2 linked regions of the Astyanax mexicanus genome follow. The protein of the gene in region 1 binds, or shares a complex with, the protein of each later gene. Links are inferred from orthologs where the notes say so. Each region holds a gene or a part of one and is shown on either strand. Other genes may lie near its edges.

Region 1 (11,545 bases):
AAATATCTGTAATGTATGTTTAGTCTTTCATTCTGGCATAAGATAACGGATGTGTTTTCTCAAACATATATGTATATATTTTTTTTATATCTTATGCAGTTCCCTCTGTACTGGTACTCATTTCCTGCTATAATGAAAGGCTGGATAGAGCGAGTGCTAACCCGGGGCTTCGCCTACACTCTGCAGAACACGTATGATAATGGCTTGTGTAAGGTACGTGCTGTTCCATTTCTCAGCCAATCATTATTTGTCTACTGTAGAGCAGTGCTCTCCTGTTCTCGGGCCTGGAGATCTGTTATCTTGCAGCACAAATAAAACAATAATTCAGTTAATCGAATACATCTGAAGGCAGTAAATACTATTATGGATATATGCATTAAGGCAAAGCTCCAGAATCAGTGTTGGTGACCTTTTAGAACGATTAAGCTTCAAAATAATCATGAAGTCAGATTGTAAAACTGTACAAAAATTTGGTTAAAACCAGACTTTGCTTAATTCACACTGTAGGATAAAAAAGCCTTGCTTTCATTCACAACTGGAGCACCGGAATGCAAGTACGAACCTGATGGTATCAATGGAGACGTCAATGTGATGCTATGGCCCTTACAGGTGAGAACCTATACTGTATAAGTACAGAACAACAGAAATGTACAGAAAATGTTGGCTCAAAAAGGAAAATGCGTTCATTGCAGACATTATAAACCAAGAAATGTCATGTTTTGTCTGCTTAACTTAATTTTGCTTGTTAATAGACATCCATTCCTGCATTTCAGGCCTGCAAAACATTCCAAAAAAACATTGGGCTGGTAAAACATTTATAACTTTGTAATGTTGCCATCCCTTCTCACAACACTTTTGGCACTGAGGTTACTAAGCAATAAAATGGTTCAGATGACATTCTTAAGGTGGCTAACAGTTGCTGTATTCTTTGTTTTAAAATTCTCTGTATAAACTCATAGCCACTCAGAGAGAGCAAGGCCAGTTGTGCTCTTTCAGGGCTCTTGCAGCTGATGGCAAGCTGCATGACCGGGATTCGGACCAGTAATCTCCTGATCATAGTGGCAGTGCTTTAGACTACAGGACCACTCGGCGCCCCATGGATACTGCTTTTATACTAAATCATGATTTCAGACAAATGTTGATATTACCTCATTATTTAGTTATTTTACATTGTTATAGTCCTTAATTGCTTGGTCCTGACTTTTGTCCTAGATGTATTGAAGACCTGAAATTAAGGGATGGATGTATATTATTTACTAAAATGTTGACCATACAAAACAGAAATTTCAGAAATTAATATTTGGTGGAATAACCCTGGTTTTTAATCATAGTTTTCATGCATCTTGGCATGTTCTCCTCCACCAGTCTTACACACTTTATGCTTTTGGATAACTTTATGCTGCTCACTCCTGGTGCAAAAATTCAAGCAGTTCAGCTTGGTTTTATGTCTTGTGATCATCCATCTTCCTCTTGATTATTTTCCAGAAGTTTTCAATTTGGTTCCAATCAAATAAGAGTCAATTTAAATGTAAGATATATTATTTATTTCTCTTTCTTCTATTATTTTAATAATAATACAATCATATCTTGCAGAATGGAGTTCTGCACTTTTGTGGGTTTCAGGTTCTGGCTCCTCAGATCTTCTGGGGTCCTGCTCGTGCCTCCCCCTCTGACAGAGCAGCCATGCTGGAGTCCTGGCAGGCGAGGCTGAAGGGTCTGCTGGAGGAAAAGAAAGTGGCCTTTGCTTCTGGTAAGCTGTTTGACCTGAGCCTCCAAGCAGGGTTTAAACTGAGGCCTGAGGTGAAGGAAGAGTATCGTTCTAAATCATACGGCCTCACCACCGGGCAGCACCTCGGCAAACCCCTCCCCCCAGACAACCAGACCAAGGCTTCTTCTGCATGTGATCCCTCAGCATCAGCGAAACACTCACAAAAGAAAGTCTGAGTCACTGACGACTTCTGATACTGAATGTAATTTTTTAAAGATAAATTTGAGCTAATTACTAAAAACAGTAGTGCTTTTATGTTGTGATTACCCATATATATGTTTGTTTTTTGCAACAATGTTTTGTTTTGCATCATGTAGATTTGTGTTCATTACTCACTGATCTGATAATAAAGAAATAAATGATTTGATGTGATATTCAATGTTCAATGTAATTTTTAGATCTTCTAAACATAATGACTTTAAAACACACTGACTATCCAAAAGTCATAGAACAGCAGTATATAAATTGATCATGTTACCTCTGCAGAGGTGTCAAGTAATAAAGCTTTGGTTTCCTTACTTAAGTAGAAATATTGGTTATCTAAACTTTATTAGAGTAATTACTAGATTATTAATAATACCTTAGTGGACTTTAACTTCTACTCCTTACATTTTAAAAATAGCCTTGCTACTCCTATTTCACTTCAGCCTGTTTTCATTGTGATTTTTTATCAAAAATCCATAAAAACCATATCAATCTCTCCATCCGGATGGAGTGAATCTGATTGTGGTTGGATTATAGTGCACTATAGAGCATTATCTGGCTAGAACTGTCCAATTTCTTTAATGCAATGGCTTTATGTAAATGTGCCTTCCATTTTTCAAAGTTGAAGACAAACCTAATTAAACATCTACACTGACCTCACTCTGCACTTCATTCATTATTTGTGCTGCTGAGGTGTCTTAATGGCAACCTGCACTTAATTATTCATGTGTAGAGGGCTATCTACCCCCTGTTTACTAACTGCTCAGGCGATCACAGGTTTTATGTCATATTCAGGTCTGTTTCTATTGTTCAAGTAGAAAGATACAGTTACTTATTTATTACTTATTAATGGTAAAGGAGTGCTCGTGCTGCCCCAGATGGGATTTAAACCAGTGGAAAATAGGGCCTTAAAAATGGTGGGAAAGCCAAACAAATGAAATGCCAAAGATTATGTGTTAAAACAAAAGAAAGCCGTAAAACTACAACTACAATACTGGAACTTTACACTTAACAGAAATAAAGCTCTGGAAAAAAATAAAGGGCCACTTAACAATGATAAGTTTCTTTGATTTTACCTAATTGAAAACCTCTGGAATACAATCAAGATGAATGATCACACGCCATTAAACCAAGCTGAACTGCTTGACTTTTTGCACCAGGAGTGACAGTTATTCAAAAGCAGTGTGTAAGACTGGTGGAGGAGAACATGCTAAGATGCATTAAAATGTTTTCTTTGCATTAATTGAGGTCTGAACGCTCTTATCTGTTGATTCAGCCATTTCTTGTTTTTTGCAAATAAATGCTTTAAATTACAATATTTTTATTTGGAATATGGAAGAAATGTTGTCCTTATTTTATAGAATAAAACAACAATGTTCATTTCACTCAAACATAAACATATAAATCTCTATTTTTTCCAGAGCTTACTGCTGGCTTTTAAACATGTGAGCTCAACTTAAAGTTGTGCAGTTCAGCTCTTTATCAACACAAAACAACTGTCTGTCTTTTCATATTTTATTTGCATTGGCCAGCTCTTTAGTAGACTCGCCCTGATAGTTTATCTTTCTTTTGTTTTCTTAATCTTTTCTTTCGTATTTTTTCTCTTCTTTTTTCTCTTTCCTTTTTTTAATATATTCTGTTTTTTCTGTTACCCACGGTTACTGGTCACCCCTCTACAAATGTGCGACAGAGAACTAGGGTTTGACTGGGGGTTTCATACTGTGTCCCACAGCTGAGCCTGGTCAGTGCTGATTATCGCTGGGGATTCTGGGATTTGGAGTTTTGTTTGGCCCAGATCCACCAGCTCTTCCACTGCAGCGTCCATGACCTCTGCTGGTGGCTGGTGGTACATGCAGCTTTCTTACATACTGCAGATTTTTTATTCCTTTTATTACTCCAGTAGAAGAGTGTAAATGAGAGAGAACAACATAATAGCTGATTAGCTTGTCTACTGACTAGCTGGTCTACTGTTATACATTTCCTAAAGCAAAATAACTTTCTGAAATTCCTGTCAGAGAGGGAATGCTTTTTGATTCAACATGATCAGTTATATAATCAAAGTTCGATTAAAAGCTGATTAGCCCTTAAATAGCTGAAAACCATATATGTAAATATCATTGTATATTGCACTTCAGGTAAGATGCTAATTGCATTTAATTGGCTCTGAAACTGTACTCTAAAAAATGACAATAACTTTGAATATATCCTATTCTGACACTTTTGTGTTTACAGCATAGTTGTTTTATACAAAAGCAGTCTAACGAGTTTTAGATATATTTTTCACAATTTAGGCATTTAAATGTTTATTTAGCTATTTAACAAAATATTGAACTATTTAAATATGTAGAGAATTTTAAAGTAATGTATTGGGTAACACAAAGGCAAACTTAATTAAACATCTATATTCAACCTCACTCTGCACTTCATTTATAATTTGTGCTGTTGAGGTGTCTGATTGGCTCCTGGCACTTAATTATTCATGAGTACAGGGCTATCTACCCTCTGCTTACCATCCTCTCATGGGAAACATTGTCTGACAGCTTTCTATTCTTCAAATGAAATAATATAATACTGTTAAATATAAAGTTTTACAATATTGCTTGGTGCACAAAAATAAAAAAAAAATAAAAATGGGGAAAACTATTTGAGGTTAAATATTTAAATTAAGTACACAGAAACAAAATATATATCAGAAACACAACAAAACAAAACCATAAATTGTTAAAGTTAAATCATATAATCATATAATAGTTAAATATAAAGTTAAATATATAAGTTAAAGAAAATATTCCGCCAGCTTTATAGCCTATTAAAAATTAATACTCACTTTAATGAAAAATGTCAATGCCTTAATTTAAATTTAAATGTATAAATACAATTAGAAAATTATTTACCAATCAAAAATAATAATTAAACTTAACCAGGCAGCATTGTGGACATTGTATTTGTTATTACTTAATTATATTTAGAAAATGTGTGTTGATTCAGAGTAAATGTTGAGAAATGTATTGTTAGACAGTGTTTGAATGGAATTTAAAACCAAGTATTTACTTTCACATGAGCCATAAACCAGGATACAGTGTACAGTGATACAGTGATACAGTTTTTTAATATTCTAAGCTGAACAGAGGGACCATTAAAACAGGCGAAAATTGCATTTTATGGCCACTATGTCAAAGATATGTTTGTAACAGGTAACAAACACCTTCCACAGCCAATCACAGCACAGGAGCTGAGAGACCACCAGAGCCCGTTAATAAAGAGACTGCCCACTTTATATTCCCCCCTTTATATGAAACCGCTAGAGGGAGCCCGCGAGCGAGTCGGAAATGAATGGGGTGAATGGAGCTAAATTAAATATCCATTTGATCACTTGATTGTTTGAATTATATAAAGCTAAATGGTATATTTAGCTAAATATGACATTAACACCAAAATATATATTTTACTTTTTCTCTAGTAAACGGGTTTTAGGCAGTAAAGGTGCTGCATTACTGCTACTGTGAGCTGTGAGACTGTATGGTGAGCTGATGCTAAAGTTACAGCCAGAGCACACAGAGTTTAAATTGGCTTATACATAGAGTTTTAAAGCTTTAAAACGTATATAAATCATATATAAAATACTTTACTTTCCACGGTAAAGTAAAATCCTGGTTAAAACGTTAATTACTATTTTTAATTTATGTTTGTAGCTGATTAGCTCCATTCACTCCCATGTATTTTGGGCTCCCTCTAGCGATAGTTATCAGATATGACAGTAGAGAGATGGGGGAGTGAGCAGGGGATAGAGGGAGAATGTGAGGATGGGGGCATGAGGGATGGGGAGGTATGGATTGGGGTTGGGGGGGAAAAGGAGGGTTCTGGGCGGGGATGTCTGTGCGTGATCACGCACGGGAACGTGGTTACGCCGCGTGTCATGGCTGCGCCAGCGCGTCATTTGTTCCAGCGCAGTCACCGGCGCGCTGAGCGGAGCGCTCCTCCCAACCCCCGGCAGATCCGCTACCCGCTATACCGCTATCCCCGCCCCGCTATACCGCTCTGTACCGCTCTGTACCCGGGGAACCGCGGGCTGCGAACCGCAGCTACACAAAGAGCCCTGTCTGTCCTTCAGCTTCAGCAGGAAAACCCCAAAACACAGCCCTGCATGGTGAGTACTGTACTGCCTTACTCTACTGTACTCTCATTTACACTGATTTATTCTGTACTATACACTCATTTACACTGATTTACACTAAATATACACTATATACTCATTTACACTGATTATACACTGTACACTGATTTATACTGTATTATACACTCATTATACGCTAATTTACATTGATTATACACTGATTTTACACTGATTATACACTGTACTATACAATATACACTGATTATACACTATACACTAATTTACACTATACGCTGATTTGTACTGATTATACATTGTACACTGTTTATACACTGTTATACACTCATATCCAGACTGTACACTGATTTGCACTATACAATGATTTGTACTTATAATACACTACACTGTTTATACACTGTTATACACTCATATCCAGACTGTACACTGATTTACACTATACACTGATTTGTACTGATTAGACATTGTACACCGTTTATACACTGTTTATACACTGTTATACAGTCATATCCAGACTGTACACTGATTTATGCTATACACTGATTTGTACTGATTATACATTGTACACTGTTTATACATTGTTCTGCACTCATATCCAGACTGTACACTGATTTATGCTATACACTGATTTGTACTGACTATACATTGTACACTGTTTATACACTGTTGTACACTCATACACAGACTGTACACTGAATTACACTGATTATAGACTGCACTACACACGGATATACACTAAATGTACACTGCACACTGTTTATATGCTGTCTATGCACTGTTGTACACTGATTTACACTGCACTATAAACTAATTCACACTATACACTGATTATACACTAATTATACACTGTTTTTACTGCATTTACACCCATTTACACTATACTGATTATACACTACACTGATTGATATCATACTATACACAGATTTACACTACACACTGATTAAACACTAATTAAACTCTATTTATATACTACACACTGATTTATACTGTACAATTTACTCATTTATACTTGCTGGTTATACACTGATTAACACTATACACTGATTTATATTGTACTATATATATATATATATATATTACTATAGACCATACACTGATTCATACTGATTTATACTTTACTATTCACTGTACTACTGTACCGTGTCCTTTTTCCTACAGAAAACTCACACAGTTCTGTACAAAATAGTACACAATAGTAGCCCATGTGGAGAAACTCGTCCACATGTTTTGGTTTAGAAATGAAAGCAACATTTTAAAAATGTTTTTCATGCTGGTTCTTCATGCTCATGTTTGGTTGTAGACTTTACATTACATTATAATTAATCCTAACTCACCGGCTCTATTCTTACCAGTTTTAGTCCCTTTCAGAACGTGGCATTTAGGGGCCCTGTCACTTTTATGCAAATGAGCTTTAGCTGACCACGCCATGTATACGGTGAGCGTTTACTGTATGTTAGTGGTAACTTGTGCTTAATGGCAAATAGGGTTGCAGCGGTAACCGGTTTCACGGTATACCGTGGTATTAAAATGCACGGTTATCATACCGTGTGTGTTTGCTTATTACCGGTAAAACGCAAGCCAGCGGAGAAAGTCACCCGCGCATGCGCAACTCTGCTCCGCTTCAGCTACTCAGCACACAGCGGTGAGAATGGCAGAAAGTGCATCAGACTAGAGCCTAGATTCTCTGCCCGAACCAGACCTGACCCGAGGACCGACCCGAAATCAGGTCCGTTCGGGCCGAGATTTCCCACCACATTCCTCGGGCCGGGTCGGGTTGGGCTCCAGAAAATAGTCTGAGATGTAGGCATCTGTTTTTTAATTATATATTTTATTTTTAAATAAAGCTCTGGTGTGATAATCACAATGTTAATGCTAAGTAACCAATTATTATTGTTAATGAAAACGAACCAAATAACGAAAACTGAAAGTGAAACTTAACTAACCTATTTATAAGCGCTGTTTTCACTCCCGCAGTTCTGCAGCGGGAGGTGTTGTGCCGATTCTGTCCGCGAAGCGGGAGTCGGATTGAGCAGGGAGTCGGATTCGGCATAACAGCGGCAGCGCGGCTGCACCTCGCGGTCCGCGGTGTTAGTTGTAAGCGCTCGCGCTAGCCGCAAAATACGACAGAAAACACTGAGAAACTGCAGAATTATGAATTGGACTAAAATGAGCACGAGGAGATAAAAGAGAACCTTTACCTGTGAGTAGCTCACATCAGAACACGCAAATCTCTCTCTCTCTCTCTCTCTCTGTGTCTCTCTCTCTCGCACGTGAACTTCTCCGCACTGTGTTTAGCTGTTCTTAAAAATCATTTTTATTAAATAATAGTTCTATGCTTCTATGTTAGTGTTAATTAACATAATTCTGATCATATTTCGCTCATTCAAACAGCCTGAAAACAGACTTGTAATCTTGTAATCAACAAGCTTGTAATCAATGTGGCCGTAGTCACAGCTAAAGGAGGAAATACATCAAACCTGTTCTCCCATCTCCGAGAACACCACCCCGCTGTGCAGCGCAAAGTATGTGTTCAGTTTATAATTTTACCTAAATAACCTAAATAAAACTTCTTTGTAGTCGTGCACAACCCATGCGGTAATTTATTTAGTTATCCGAAATTTGGGCACGCAGGTACAGGCGTGAAGTGCGTGCTACGATGGATTCACGTGTCCGTGTAAAGGTCCTGGCCGGACTGGATGTGAAAGACGCCATTCATTTACATGCGTTAATTTTCAAATTCTGACGTGCCTGTTTTTCATATGTTGAAGGTTTTAAGGTGTGAAAGCCTTAAAATAGAAATCTCTATTGTGAGGATCATGTCAGAAATAAATCCCCTCTTTCTGCAGTATCTGGTTATATACCAACTTTTTTTATATATATATACACTCTTAATGCCCTTAAAGGGGACATGAAACATTTCAGTTTGTACAAGTTTTCTAAGGTATTAAATATAATGGAATTTACTTGGGGGGGATTTTTTTATATAAAATGTTTACACACTAAATTATAATATATTTATGTTTGTTATGTTTGAGCTAGGGCGCCGCCATGTTGCCCGTGCAGCACTGGTGACGTCACGAGGTTGGTTGGTTTAAGATCCCAGGCATATAACTAGAGGAAAAGAGCTTATTGTTTGTCGAGATTATGGATGAAGACGAAGCTGAACTAGGCTAACATGGAGCATTTGCTCAGAGATCTTTCCTGTATAAACCTGAGCAGAACTTTTCAGATGCTTTTCTGAGAGCGAGACGTTTTGGGAGTGTTTATTCTCTCTCTACGTGGAGCCGTGCAGAACCCTGCAGCGCGTCCACAGCAGGTACTACCATCCAGTTAACCAGCTATTTTATATACATTTAGCTATTTAACATGCAAAGTCCAGAGTCTATTAAGACTGAATGAAACGAACATGATTTAAGTGGATATTGAAACATCCAGGCGCTGTTTGGTTGATAAACCGTTCAGTTTAGAAGTTAGAAAGCTTACTGGGTTACTTAGCTTCATCTAGTTAGTGTTAGCTAGTTAGCTAGCGTTGGCTAGCTAGAATAAGATAGCTAGCTAAGTAGCTAACGCTAGCTATGTTATCTTTAAATTGTCATTTTATCTAGATTTTCGGTAACGGTACCTCTCGCTGCTCTGCTGGGTGGGCGTGTTGTTTGGCTGGTGCGGCTCACAGCTGCTGCTCTCATAGTAACTTTACCATCAGTCGGACGGTCTGTACATTCCAGCTGATCAGAGGAAAAATAAAAAACGGTGGAAAAAAGCCTCGGACTTCAGCTTATTTATCCGGCTCTAATGCTCCTGACTCAAACCCCTCTCCTTCACATAGTCCTGGTCTAGAAAGTGCTCGCCACTAACCCCTAGCAGCTAACCGGAGGATTCTCACGCTTCAGCGCTGCGAGCCCCGCTGAAGGTATGAAAGTGAAAGTAAATATTTCTCATTCCTCACCCTATTAAAATTCACTACTCCCAGTATTACTACACACAGGGGCAATACAAAAGTGCCCCCCCGCTCTGCATTGAGTTTTGGTTTGGATTTTATTATTTATTGAGGAGCTAAATTACAGTATTCTCATAGATCATAGTAGTGAGGCGTGCGAGAACCAACCTCGTGACGTCACTTTCAGCGCTGGGACAAGATGGCGCTGCCCTTACTTAAAAAAATGACATTTAGATTGCTTATTATTTTAATTCCGCTTCACTGACAACTGTTAAACTTATAAAATTTGTTAGAGTGAAAATACATCTTGTGAATTAAACGAAATACTTGAAGTGTTTCATGTCCCCTTTAAGAGTAGTGGGAAAACATGGTTTCCTTCACCTGATGGTGTAGTTTCTACAATAAATAGTTAATTGAACAAAAAAACTTTGTTGTAATTTCTTTAAGGGTCAGTTTAATAATATATGTAACAAACTGTGATACCGTGATAACCGTGATACCGCGGTATTTTCCGAGACGGTTATCATACCGTGAAAATCTCATACCGTTGCAACCCTAATGGCAAAACAGGAACAAGCTAGCTTGTGCTTAACTGTGATAGTAGAAAAAAAATCTTTATTTGAAAATGCTAGGATCCCTCCATCAGACAAAGTCTGCTTTGGTGAGGGGAGACAGGTGAGGGTGGCGCCAGGGTGGTTCTATGCAGGTTTTCGTATTGTGACATCGCAACAAGGGAGCATCAGAACAGCGCATAGAAGCACATGAGTCTTGAGACCAAACTCTTTTAGCTGACTCACTCTTATAATTCACGTTGACTTTCCGTGACGTCACTCACAAGATAACACCTCATAGGTTTGGGTGTTCCTAAGCCATTACCTGAGTTAACTCTTTAACACTTAATACCCAGTTTTCCATTACTTTAAGTATGACATATTGGTGCACAAAATTCCCTTTTCATTTAACCACAGTTTAGGCTTTATGCTGGTTTATGCCTTATGCGGGCTAAGCGCTGCCACCATGATTAGGAGATCGCCGGTTCAAATCCTGGTCATGTAGTTTGGCATCAGCTGCCAGAGCCCTGAGAGAGCACAATTGTCTTTGCTCTCTCTGGGGGGGTAGATGGCACTCTCACTACAATGGGTGGCATTGATCAGCACATGGCTTCTGTGAGCTGGTGTATCAGAACTGAGTCGCTGCGCTTTCCTCCGAGCGTTATTGCTGTGATGCTACTCATCAATGTGGCATCTGCAGCAGCTTGTGGCTGACCTTCCTGGTGTTGGGGCATTACTGGGTTGGGTAATTGGCCTACTAGGATACTAGGATAAATATTAAAAAAAGTTGGTATCAGTTCTAATGTATCCTGTGTGTCATTTTTTTCCCATCAGATTTCAAAACTGGCACAGCATCTGTTCTCTGGCGGGCATGTTTGCAGCAGGGTTTGACTGAGGTGGGCTTGCTGCGATGGTGCTGGATCTAGGGGAGGACTGTATGGAGCGGGCTAATG
Region 2 (12,562 bases), on another chromosome or scaffold:
GCTTCAGTTGCAGTGCATTACCGGTTGATAATGGTACTCATAGAATGCCTCTCAGGCAATCACATTGCAGGGTCCGTTCTTACTGTGGTATAATATTTATATAAGTGGTGTAAATTAAAATGCTATATTTGTATATACTTGTATGTTTAAGGGGATATAAAACAAACTTGGGGCACTGTTATAAAGAATGCATGACAAATTGGACAGAGGAAATTTTTTACTTTCTTGTGAACAACTCAGCTTGGTTGTAAGGATTTTTGAATTAGAACTTAATTTGCTGAGTATAAAAGGGGTGTTTTCACACCTGTAGTTTGTTTCTACAGTCCGGATCAGTTGATGAGTCCTCATGTTTGGTTTCACACAGGCACCAACCTAAACGCACCAAAATGCGCACCAACGCATGCACACCAATGCAAGCACATTGTCTTCTCTGATTGGTCAGAGCTGTCTGGCGCAGTAGCAAGAAAGTAAATATAGTGAAAAGATTCTGTTTCAGTGTGTATATCTGTGCAGTGTGAAGCTGCTTTAACACTGAACGCTGAAAATGTGTGGCTGCTTTTTAAGCAAGGTTTTGGACATGCAGAGCAGATATAGTAAACAGAGTTACTGGGCTGCAAGGAGTGAGCGCTGCACACACTGTGCATGTAAACAGCATGAAGCAGCAGAGTCACCGTTTGTTTATGGCAGAATATTATCTGGCTTATATATAAGAATGCATTGCACCTAATCAGCAGTGTAGCTCAATTTAAAAAAGTATATTTGATAGCTGGGTCGGATCAAGACCAGATCTCGTGTATACCACAAACTGCTCCAGAAAAAAATCTGCTTATTCGGCAGGGAAATTTAAATAAGTAATTAAAGTAAAAAAAAATATTGTATGGGTATGGGATTTGTGTGCAATATCTTTATATATTTAAAAAAAAAAACAGACAAAATACATTATTTTCCCTCAATAATTTATTGTGCATCACAGTCAGAAGATGACAGACAAGTGTGTTTATCTTTCTCAGGAGAGCAAGAGTATAACAGCAAGTTGAAAACCATTTCTATCAACATGACATCCCATCATCAACACATCATAGCATCAGTGAACAGACTTCAGATAAACTGAACATTTATAAGAGAAAGCAGGACTGTGTGAGAATGCTCTCATACTACTGGATCAGTGCTGAAAATCTCCTGATGTGTGATAGCATACTAGTGACTGGGTTGGGAGAACATCTTGTTTAATACTCCTCTCCCTCCTCCTCTCCCTCACCCTCAATGGAATCAACACCCACCTCCTCATAATCCTTCTCCAGAGCCGCCATATCCTCTCTGGCCTCAGAGAACTCTCCCTCCTCCATACCCTCTCCTACGTACCAGTGCACGAAGGCACGCTTGGCGTACATCAGGTCGAACTTGTGGTCGAGCCTGGCCCAGGCCTCTGCGATAGCTGTGGTGTTGCTAAGCATGCACACGGCTCTCTGGACTTTGGCCAGGTCACCGCCGGGCACCACAGTGGGGGGCTGGTAGTTGATACCGACCTTGAAACCAGTTGGGCACCAGTCCACGAACTGGATGGTACGCTTGGTCTTGATGGTGGCGATGGCGGCGTTGACGTCTTTGGGTACGACGTCACCACGGTACAGCAGGCAGCAGGCCATGTACTTGCCGTGACGTGGGTCACATTTCACCATCTGATTTGCAGGCTCAAAGCAAGCATTGGTGATCTCTGCCACTGAGAGCTGCTCGTGGTAAGCTTTCTCAGCGGAGATGACTGGGGCGTAGGTGGCCAGAGGGAAGTGGATACGAGGGTAGGGCACCAAGTTGGTCTGGAACTCGGTCAGATCAACATTGAGGGCACCATCGAATCGGAGGGAGGCGGTGATGGAGGACACAATCTGGCTGATCAGCCTGTTGAGGTTGGTGTAGGTAGGACGCTCGATATCGAGGTTCCTACGACAGATGTCGTAGATGGCCTCATTGTCCACCATGAAAGCACAGTCGGAGTGCTCGAGGGTGGTGTGGGTGGTCAGGATGGAGTTGTAGGGCTCCACCACAGCGGTGGACACCTGTGGAGCTGGGTAGATGGAGAACTCCAGCTTGGACTTCTTGCCGTAGTCGACAGAAAGGCGCTCCATCAGCAAGGAGGTGAAACCAGAACCGGTACCACCTCCAAAGCTGTGGAACACCAGGAAGCCCTGGAGACCAGTGCACTGGTCAGCCTAGAAAAGATACAGAATAGATTTGTTAATCTAAGTAATCAGATCATAAACCTTATCAAACATAAAGTCCTCACCAGTTTGCGGATCCTGTCGAGAACCAGGTCGATGATTTCCTTGCCGATGGTGTAATGCCCACGAGCGTAGTTGTTGGCAGCATCTTCCTTTCCAGTGATGAGCTGCTCAGGGTGGAACAGCTGGCGGTAAGTGCCGGTACGAACCTCGTCTGAAGGACAATAGAAACAAGTTAATGATGATAAAACATCAGATCTGATCTAACAGCACTAAACAGACAGGTGATTTAATACAGTCATCATAAATGGAGAATTGCTTACCAATCACAGTGGGCTCCAGATCCACGAACACTGCTCTGGGGACGTGCTTGCCAGCTCCTGTTTCGCTGAAAAAGGTGTTGAAGGAGTCGTCCCCTCCGCCGATGGTCTTGTCACTGGGCATCTGACCGTCCGGCTGAATGCCATGCTCAAGGCAGTACAGCTCCCAGCAGGCATTGCCAATCTGGACGCCAGCCTGGCCAACGTGGATGGAGATACACTCACGCTGTTGGAAGAAAAAGAACCAGTTATTCAAGTCATACATAAAGACAAACATCAATCTTAACTGTCCTAACAGATCATGCAAATAAAGACCATGATGTGCTTAAGATTACAGATAAAGCCCTAGTCAGACCTGCAAATCTACATTAAATTATGTTTTTAATGCAAAGTAATACAGCCACTCCAGTAGTACAGACTACAGAACTTTTACATTAATCATATATAAAGGCGCAAGGCTGTAGCAGCATCCAGTTCAGAACAGTTTAAGATGGCATTAGCAAAAACTCAAGCTATGGCCAGACAGGCCAATGCCCAGGGGCTCTGTCCACAACTGTAATCATACACAAATCTATCTATATTTGGCTACTTATATTTCTAGTGCTTCACTACTTAGATTAATGAGGCTTTTAAAGTCACTTGTGCCCACAGGCTTGGCAAGACCTCGATCCGTCCCTGGCTTGGCGTAAATGTTGGCACAGCAAGTGAACTAGCAGCGAGGATCACAGTGTGTGCCGCAGAAGGGCGGGGGTAGTGCAAATCACGCCATGTCCCGTCACTCACCCTTGCTTTCTTCCATTCGACTACGCCCTCATTTCCATTTTCCAGCCTAGTCTGTCTGAAAAAATCCCATCCCAAAATCTTTTTACATAGTAGCTTTGAAATTGCTTTTTCTTTGAATAATTATTTGATAAATGTATTTATTCATTTAGATTTATGCATTATGCATTCTATCTATGCTTAGAACACACCAAATACACTACAGAGCAGTACACTATTTGTGTAAAAATTAATATAAAGTATTTTATCTAGGTGAAAAATAAATATTTATAGATATATAATGGGCTACATAGCAAAACATGTATGTGACAAAACATGTATAGGAGGATTCTTTTTGCCTGGAGACCACTTACAGCTCTGAAAAAAAAAACAAGAGACCACTTCAGTTTCTGAATACGTTTCTCTGATTTTGTTATTTATAGGTATATGTTTGAGTAAAATGAACATTGTTGTTTTATTCTATAAAATGCGGACAGCATTTCTCCCAAATTCCAAATAAAACTAATGTCATTTAGAGCCTTTATTTGCAGAAAATTAGAAATGGCTGAAATAACCAAAAAAAAAATTCAGACCTCAATGCAAAAATAACCCGGGTTTTTAATCACAGTTTTCAAGCATCTTGGCATGCTCTCCCCCACCAGTCTTACACACTGCTTTTGGATAAATTCAAGCAGTTAAGCTTGGTTTGACGGCTGTGATCATCCATCTTCCTCTTGATTATATTCCAAAGGCTTTTAATTTGGTAAAATCAAAGAAACTCGTCATTTTTAAGTGGTCTCTTATTTTTTTCCATATATATGGTATATATGGTGCACTATGTAGGGATCCTTCCTCGGTCTCAGACTCCATCCAGCTGCTGCCAAGGGATTTGCACAGTATGCCCGTTGCCTAGCAACAGGGTTTCTCTTTCAGATTCATTCATTCATTCGTTTCGGACTAAAATACTGAAAGTAGCAACTAATAAACCCTGCAGTTGCTATATAAACACGAATATTCGACGATAATTGGAGGTATGTGGAGGTTTTGACTAAGTTTGATTGTGGTTAAAGCTGTGAGGCTATAAGCCAGTAATTGTCTTTGAGGGGCGGGTGTCCCCATCCCCCCGCACTGGTCTCGGCGGGGAGCCTGTGACATTCCCTCTCCTCACTGTTCTGAACAGACACTGAGAGAGAACCACAAATGCTAATCGGCTTTTCTGACTAACCTTCTGTCTTACAGGCTCTAGGGAAGCCACTGCTCCGAGAAATGCATTTACATTTCAAAAGAATTGAGTTCTGACCCCGATAAACTCTTTCACGATTCAAATAAAGGAGGTTTGATAGTGTTCCACCTTAAATAGTGGTACAGCAATGGCATTTTGGTGCCAGCCTGCATGTTAGATACATGTAGGAATTAAGGTGGAACGGGCAATTCGTCGCATCCGAGAATCTATTTAGCTAGATTAGCTATGTAATTAGCGCTGTATAGAAATGCGGTTGCTAGATCATATTTAACATATGTGAGAGCTAATATTTCTAACTAGTTAGCTTTTATCCATTAACCACTCTAAAAAGATCATGTAATAATTCCATCAAAAACAACGTTTATTCGATGTTCTTTGCTATCAGGGCTGATATAGCTATACACCTATAACTATAACGTAATGTACAGGTCAAATTACACTACTGAAAATATATAAATGTTATTTCATAGCTTTAGCCACATAAAACTTACGACATTCAAATATATATATATATATTTTAAAAACGAAGAGGAAAAAGCACGGACGCGCTCCGCCCACGTCTTACAGACGTCTAAATTGACCCTATTCAAAACTAGCGCGATAAAATGAGCGAATACAATATAGAACATTTTGACTTATTTGTCTTTTCAAACCAGTAACAGCTCGTGTAATAAAGTTACACTGAGTAAATCGCCCAGAGAAGACAGGGAACATCATATGCCTAACGTTAACCTAACCTAACTAGATAATATAAGAATAAGCAGCTTATATAAATAATAATCCATTAAAACAAACCGATTAATAAAAACATATAGCTCACTAGGTGCGTGTAAAAATAGGATTTAATAAATTCAGATTATATTATGTCATTTCAGACATGTCTGTCTCTACATCATACAAACACTTTTATATATATATACAATTAATATCATATAAAATATATATATATATGTGTACTTACCATTTTGAGATGTTTAGATGGTCAGCTCACACAAAGGGAAATTGGGTTTCTTGATGCGGTTTGGTTACCTTCGTCGACGGCTAAGAGTCGATGCAGTAACTGCTTGCTGTCGGTGTGGCGCACCACTTTATAAAGGCACGGGCCCGAGGGGGGCTGGGCTCGTGCACACGAGGCATTGAGATGGCAGACAGTGGAATTTCATTGTAGTTCTGCACAATGCATGCTGAAGGAATGCACTAATTTGCACAGATTTGAACATTTACATTTGTGCATGCTTAATATTGGTCCCTAACTGCATTTAATATGAAGACTGGTATATGCCCCTAGTTTTCTACACAGTGCATGTAGCAAGAATAAATGAATACGTATAGTCAAGCAAATTTACATTTTTGCACACTCAATATGGTCATAAATAGCATTTTTTACACAGACAGTGAGATTGTACTGTAATTCAGTTTGTTTCCACCACATTGCATATTGCAAGAATGCACAAACATGTATAATCAAACAAATTTCATTCATGTGTGCTCAAGACTGATTTTTATACAGAATGGGGGATTTCCATGTATCTCTGCAAATTAAGCATATTTGTAATATGTGCATGCTCAAAAATGTTACCTGCATTCATCTGTTGTTATATAAAGCTCTGCAAATACAAATGTAGGATGCACATTCTGCTTATGCTATAAAGCAGCTATCAGTCCAGGTTTTTTCTTTTTTTTTACTACTGAAGATCATCTTTAATTAATAACCAGTCATATGGGCACATAAAGGTTTACATTATGATAATAATATGAAAAAATATAGATAATTAGTTACACCTGTTAATACATTTATAACTGGGATTTTGAGTGGAATAAAAAGGCACCAGACAGGCGGGTCCATTATTGATGAGGGATGCTGATCACGTGGCGCACTGCAGATGGTGACGTCATTGTGCTGCAGCAAAAACGACCAGACAAAGAAGGGCGGTGGCCTGGAGGCCACACACACCACATACACATATAGCAAATAATAATAATAAAAGAAATCTGATATAATATAATATAATATAACATATATACAATATATATAATAACGCTACAATGCTAAATTATGCAAAATTAATAGTGCAGACTAGTTATAAATTCACTTATCCTGATGGTGTAACTGGCACTAGCACTGCAGTGCAAAAAACTGTTCCTGGATGCCCTGAATGACTGCTATCATTAAGTGGGTGTACAGTGACTATGATGCAGTTTTCCATACAAGAAGATGCATACAATATTATTTTAACTAACATAAAATCACAGGGTGGAGACTGATAATATCATATTGCTCAGCTTATTTAAGGTGGACTGTCAAATATTTAGAAACCTATTAATGCCCCCAATTAAAAATGAATTATGTCTTAAATATAAGATATGATTGTTGTGAAAAATACAATAACAAATACAAGAAATTTTAAATAAAAATATAGATTTATTTCATGTTTTTTAAATGTAATGTATGACAAATGTAATTATAATTACTTTATAATTAAGACAAACATTTAGCATGTTAATTTGTACATATACTAATACACACCGTGGTACAATCATAGTTGTATAAACCTGATTATTACAGTAAATCTCTAATACCCTACTACTAATATTCGCTGCGCCAAATACTGGATCAATGCTCCATTCACCCACCCGTATTCCGATATGCCCCGCCTTACCGCGCTGCAATTGGCTAGTAGATCACACCAACGCGGAGTCCGCTATAACCATTGGTCAATCCCAGTCAGCACAGGAGGGCGTGGCTCTCCGGAAAACGGGTGGAGAAATCCCTGCGCGCATGCTCAGTAAGAGCGCCGCCTCTTTACTCTGCTTCCCCCGTTGTCTGGACCGCGTCCATCTCTCCAGCGTCAGCATCATCTCCAGAAACAGGGCAAAATGGTGAGATATCAACTTTATTTCTGCATAAGATTAAAAATACCTTCAATATTGTGATTTTAGACGTTTACACGTGGAAATAAACGTTTAGGTTTAGACTAAAGATGAGTTTAGAAAAATGCTGATTCTTTTAAAGATCAGCATCAGGGTGGGTCCAGCACCATGCTTCTTCTGCCTTATTGTTCCCAGACACAAAGAGATTTAACACAACTAGAGAAATGTAGAAAAAAAACAATGATTAAAAATTAAATTGACTTAATGACAGAATATATTTAGTCTTGTAGCTACTTGTGTTTGGCTATTAATAATGCCAGATTTAGAAATTATAAACTTATAATATTATTATAGAAGCCTCAAGTAAACCAAGCATATCAGACTTAATTGAAAATATATTGGTACATAGAATTTTGGAGCATAATTTGGACAGAAATATACAGACACATATTTCAAAGACTGCAATAATGCTGAATCATGCAAAATGTGCAGACTGTTCAGTAATTTACTAATACACTTGTCTAGCAGGTTTGACAGTGTAACTGGTATTGCAATGCCAAAAACTGCCCATTTCTTTAATGATAAAAAAAAAGTCTATAGCCACTATTTTGCAATATTCCATGCATATGGATCATTATTATTTTAGACAAACATTTAAGGTGGTCTCTTAACAATTAGTCAGAAACCTGCATATAGTTAATATAGTCACAAATTATAAATACTTAAAATGCTTTAAGTATTTGTGAATACAATTCTTATTACGAAGTAATACACACATTGTTTATGTTAAATATGCTGGACGCTGTTTATTTCAATTTATACTGATTTACACATGTACAGTGATACAAATACATAGGCCTAGTTTCTACAGCAAATCTACTGTAAGGATACACATTTTTATTGAAGCACGATTAATATTGCCAATATTTCAAACCTATACTTGATGATGGATCTGTTGTACGCTGGAAAAGGACCTAGCAATACTGGCTATGCATACTACTACAATTGACTGGTTTTGCTACTTTAAAATCAATTTTTTATCTAATTTATATTATTTTGATTATTTTTAAAGTTATAAAGTTCAACAGTGCATTCCTAAAACACACTCCACTTGCCATTCTAATAGGGGTGCACAATATATCAGTTTAGCAATGATTGACATTGTTTTTTTTTCCATAGCTTAACATGCATTACCATTATATCTGAATCAACATCATTAATTTTACTCCAGTTTATATTACACACAGTTCATTATTAATATTATGGCATTATTATTTGAACAGTCATTCTTGGCTAAATCTAATACGTTTCACAATATATATCACAGACCAGCAAAATATCGCAAAATATACATATAACATAGTCTAGCATTTAATTGAAAAAGGTGTGCACAATAACGTTGAGTGAATTAATTTGTGTAGTTTCCCTTATGAGTATTGCATAAAGCATGCATTTAAATAGCAGCTCCTTTTCCACATGCTCTGTGCAATTACACATTCTCACCAGAGAGGCCACTAAATCCCCAAAGCTTCGAAACTTACAGACTGTCACTTTAAAACCAAATATCGGAGCCTCAGGGAACACCTCTTTACCCCTGACTGTCAACTATTGGTAACATGAATTCTTATGTAAAATAAAGCCATATAGTAATTGTGGTCAATCTTGAGGTTAGCAAAATATTTGAAGTCATGCTTGTATTTTGTATGATAAGTCGATAATGTAACTATCGTGACAGACCTATATATATCTTTTTCATGTGTGATTTTAATTGAGTGACTTCAATGGCATTTTTCTTCCAACAGCGTGAGTGTATCTCCATCCATGTTGGACAGGCTGGCGTCCAGATTGGCAATGCCTGCTGGGAGCTGTACTGCCTTGAGCATGGCATTCAGCCGGATGGTCAGATGCCCAGTGACAAGACCATCGGTGGCGGGGACGACTCCTTCAACACCTTTTTCAGCGAGACAGGAGCTGGCAAGCACGTCCCCAGAGCAGTGTTTGTAGATCTGGAGCCCACTGTGATTGGTAAGCAGTTCCCCAGTTATGATGACTGTATTTCATCACCTGCCAGTTTAGTACCATCAGCTTAGATCTGATGCTTCATCATCATCTTGGTCCTCTTGTCTCTCAGACGAGGTTCGCACCGGCACTTACCGCCAGCTGTTCCACCCTGAGCAGCTCATCACTGGAAAAGAAGATGCTGCCAACAACTACGCTCGTGGCCATTACACCATTGGCAAGGAAATCATCGACCTGGTTCTCGACAGGATCCGCAAACTGGTGAGGACTTTATGTTAGATTTATTGATTACCCTAATCTGAGTCTGACAATTTAACAATTTAACAAATCTATTCTGTATCTCTTCTAGGCTGACCAGTGCACTGGTCTCCAGGGCTTCCTGGTGTTCCACAGTTTTGGAGGTGGTACCGGCTCTGGTTTCACCTCCTTGCTGATGGAGCGCCTCTCCGTGGACTACGGCAAGAAGTCCAAACTGGAGTTCTCCATCTACCCAGCTCCTCAGGTGTCCACCGCTGTGGTGGAGCCCTACAACTCCATCCTGACCACCCACACCACCCTCGAGCACTCCGACTGTGCTTTCATGGTGGACAATGAGGCCATCTACGACATCTGCCGTAGGAACCTCGATATCGAGCGTCCTACCTACACCAACCTCAATAGGCTTATCGGTCAAATCGTGTCCTCCATCACAGCCTCTCTCCGATTCGATGGTGCCCTCAATGTTGATCTGACTGAGTTCCAGACCAACTTGGTGCCCTACCCTCGTATCCACTTCCCTCTGGCCACCTATGCCCCAGTCATCTCTGCTGAGAAGGCTTACCACGAGCAGCTCTCAGTGGCAGAGATCACCAATGCTTGCTTTGAGCCTGCAAATCAGATGGTGAAATGTGACCCACGTCACGGCAAGTACATGGCCTGCTGCCTGCTGTACCGTGGTGACGTCGTACCCAAAGACGTCAACGCCGCCATTGCCACCATCAAGACCAAGCGTTCCATCCAATTCGTGGACTGGTGCCCAACTGGTTTCAAGGTTGGTATCAACTACCAGCCCCCCACTGTGGTCCCTGGCGGTGACCTGGCCAAAGTCCAAAGAGCCGTGTGCATGCTTAGCAACACCACAGCTATCGCAGAGGCCTGGGCCAGGCTCGACCACAAGTTCGACCTGATGTACGCCAAGCGTGCCTTTGTGCACTGGTACGTAGGAGAGGGTATGGAGGAGGGAGAGTTCTCTGAGGCCAGAGAGGATATGGCGGCTCTGGAGAAGGATTATGAGGAGGTTGGCGTTGATTCCGTAGAAGGCGAGGGAGAGGAGGAGGGAGAGGAGTACTAAACGTCCTAAAATTGTTCCTGTATGTCTCTCCACATTGTGTTAGAAAGAACCGAGTAGGGCCTATTCTTGGGACTGACTGCTGCTGCCATTGTCACAGCATGGTGGACAGCATATCAGGCATGAACAGTTCTGGTGGTTTAGGTTCAGTGTAGTCCAAAACTCCTTAAGCAGTATGTCTATGAAAGTCATTGTTATTTCTCTGGCATTGTGTAATCTGTTATTTGCTGTCAAAACCTGAATAAAACCATTCCTAATAAATTTTGTCTTGTGCTATTTTAACCTATTGTTTACTGGAGTTCAATAATGACTTGCCATCTGCAGTTAGGAGTTACACTATGGCTCCCTCTATTGGCATGGAGTAATTTGTAATTACACAGTGTGTTCCTCTAACACCTACCAATAGTCAGTAAAACAATTGTTTACCTGTTGCTGCCCAAATGAATGACTTTGTTGAGTACAGTTGTAAAAAGGCTACAACAGTAAAGCAGTGTTTCACCTTTTATGATATTTTAGCATCCATATATTATATATATATATATATATATATATATATATATATATATATATATATATATATATATATATATATATATATATATATCCATATATATCCATAATTGTTCTATAATAATGTTAAAGTAATCTGTAATGCTTGTTGATAATTTTAAAAAGTGATCATGGATAATTAGACATATAAAATTTACTATGGCTGTGTCTGAAAATCAAAAAATGCTGACTTGCCACCCACACTTTCTCACTTAGAAGTCAGTGTCCTGGAGTCAAATAGGAGGCTCTTTATACTGACATATATATGACATATATATAGCTCACTGCTATATATGTGTTTATTCAAGATTGAAGTGTTTCATTGTCATATGCACAGCAGAAACAAGTAGTTACACTGTACAATGTAATTCTTACTTTGCAGTTTCTCCAAATACAGACATATTTAAATAACAATATAAAAGTAAAAAAAAAACATGAATAGGTATAATAGGTACGATGTGTTCTGATTTTCAGGAATGTTAACATGTGTTCAATAAAACCATACAAACATATATTTTTTGTGTGGTATTAGTTTAAGCATACTGTGTTTGTCTATTGTTGTGATCAGAACACATTTAATTACCAATTTATGCAGAAATCCAAGTAATCCCAATGGGTTCACATGGAGTATAGTGCATCCCAAATTTACCAACATTAACTTTTTAATATAACATTATAGTCATTATGGCTTTTAGAAAAATGTGTTTTGATGAGGGAGGTAGTGCACTATAGGCTCCTTTTGTCCTAAATGTCCTCCTCTGTTTTCTCTCTCTTCTTGTCTCTCTTTCTATTTCGCTCAACTTTTCTCATTTACACTTTTCTTTCTCTCCTTACTTTCTCTCACTCTGTCCCTTTTTCTCTTTCCCTCTAATTTTCTCTCTCTGTTTCTCTCTACTATTTCCTCTCACTTTCTCCCCACCTCTTTATTTTTCTCTATCACTTTTTATTTTCATTTTACTTTCTAACTTTTTCTCTTTCTTTCTACTTGTCTCTCTCTTTCTCTCTATGTTTCTCTCTCACTCTCCATCCTCTCTCTATTTCTCCCTATCTCTCTCTATCTCTCTACGTTTCTATCTCACTCTCTCTTTTTCTTGCTCTGTACTCATGTCTCTCTTTCTCTCTACAATTGTCTCTCACTCTCTCCACACTTTTCTATACCTCTCAATCTCTCTTTATGTTTCTCTCTAACTCTAATTTTTTCTCTTTCTTTCTACTTGTCTCTCTCTTTTTTCTCTCTACTTTTCTCCCTCTCTCCTCC

The links.
Region 2: the proteins of kiaa0895l (region 1) and tubulin alpha-1B chain are in contact, whole or in part, in a cryo-EM structure (PDB 7Z6S), measured with the Homo sapiens proteins. The link is inferred for Astyanax mexicanus from reciprocal best matches to the Homo sapiens genes MATCAP1 and TUBA1B. Residues at the interface, in NP_001035805.1 of Homo sapiens: Lys219, Cys220, Trp223, Val226, Arg227, Gly237, Glu238, Val239, Val240, Val241, Gln242, Leu243, Met253, Met254, Val255, Glu256, Asn257, Ser258, Arg259, Pro260, Thr261; in NP_006073.2 of Homo sapiens: Asp345, Trp346, Arg422, Glu423, Ala426, Ala427, Glu429, Lys430, Asp431, Glu433, Glu434, Val435, Gly436, Val437, Asp438, Ser439, Val440, Glu441.

What each region holds. Positions count from the first base shown.
Region 1 is NC_064423.1:32,457,007-32,468,551, forward strand, and holds the start of kiaa0895l (uncharacterized protein KIAA0895-like), read left to right. Parts: upstream 1-5,891; 5' UTR 5,892-6,119; intron 6,120-11,426; 5' UTR 11,427-11,502; coding exon 11,503-11,545. Other genes in the region: NAD(P)H dehydrogenase [quinone] 1, read left to right, coding at 100-213, 508-609, 1,594-1,944. UniProt on the Homo sapiens protein: Tyrosine carboxypeptidase that removes the C-terminal tyrosine residue of alpha-tubulin, thereby regulating microtubule dynamics and function. Also able to remove the C-terminal phenylalanine residue of alpha-tubulin TUBA8.
Region 2 is NC_064431.1:14,468,332-14,480,893, reverse strand, and holds tubulin alpha-1B chain, read right to left. Parts: upstream 5,638-12,562; 5' UTR 5,503-5,637; coding exon 5,500-5,502; intron 2,763-5,499; coding exon 2,540-2,762; intron 2,431-2,539; coding exon 2,282-2,430; intron 2,208-2,281; coding exon 1,227-2,207; 3' UTR 940-1,226; downstream 1-939. Other genes in the region: tubulin alpha-1A chain, read left to right, coding at 7,416-7,418, 9,212-9,434, 9,541-9,689, 9,778-10,758. UniProt on the Homo sapiens protein: Tubulin is the major constituent of microtubules, protein filaments consisting of alpha- and beta-tubulin heterodimers. Microtubules grow by the addition of GTP-tubulin dimers to the microtubule end, where a stabilizing cap forms.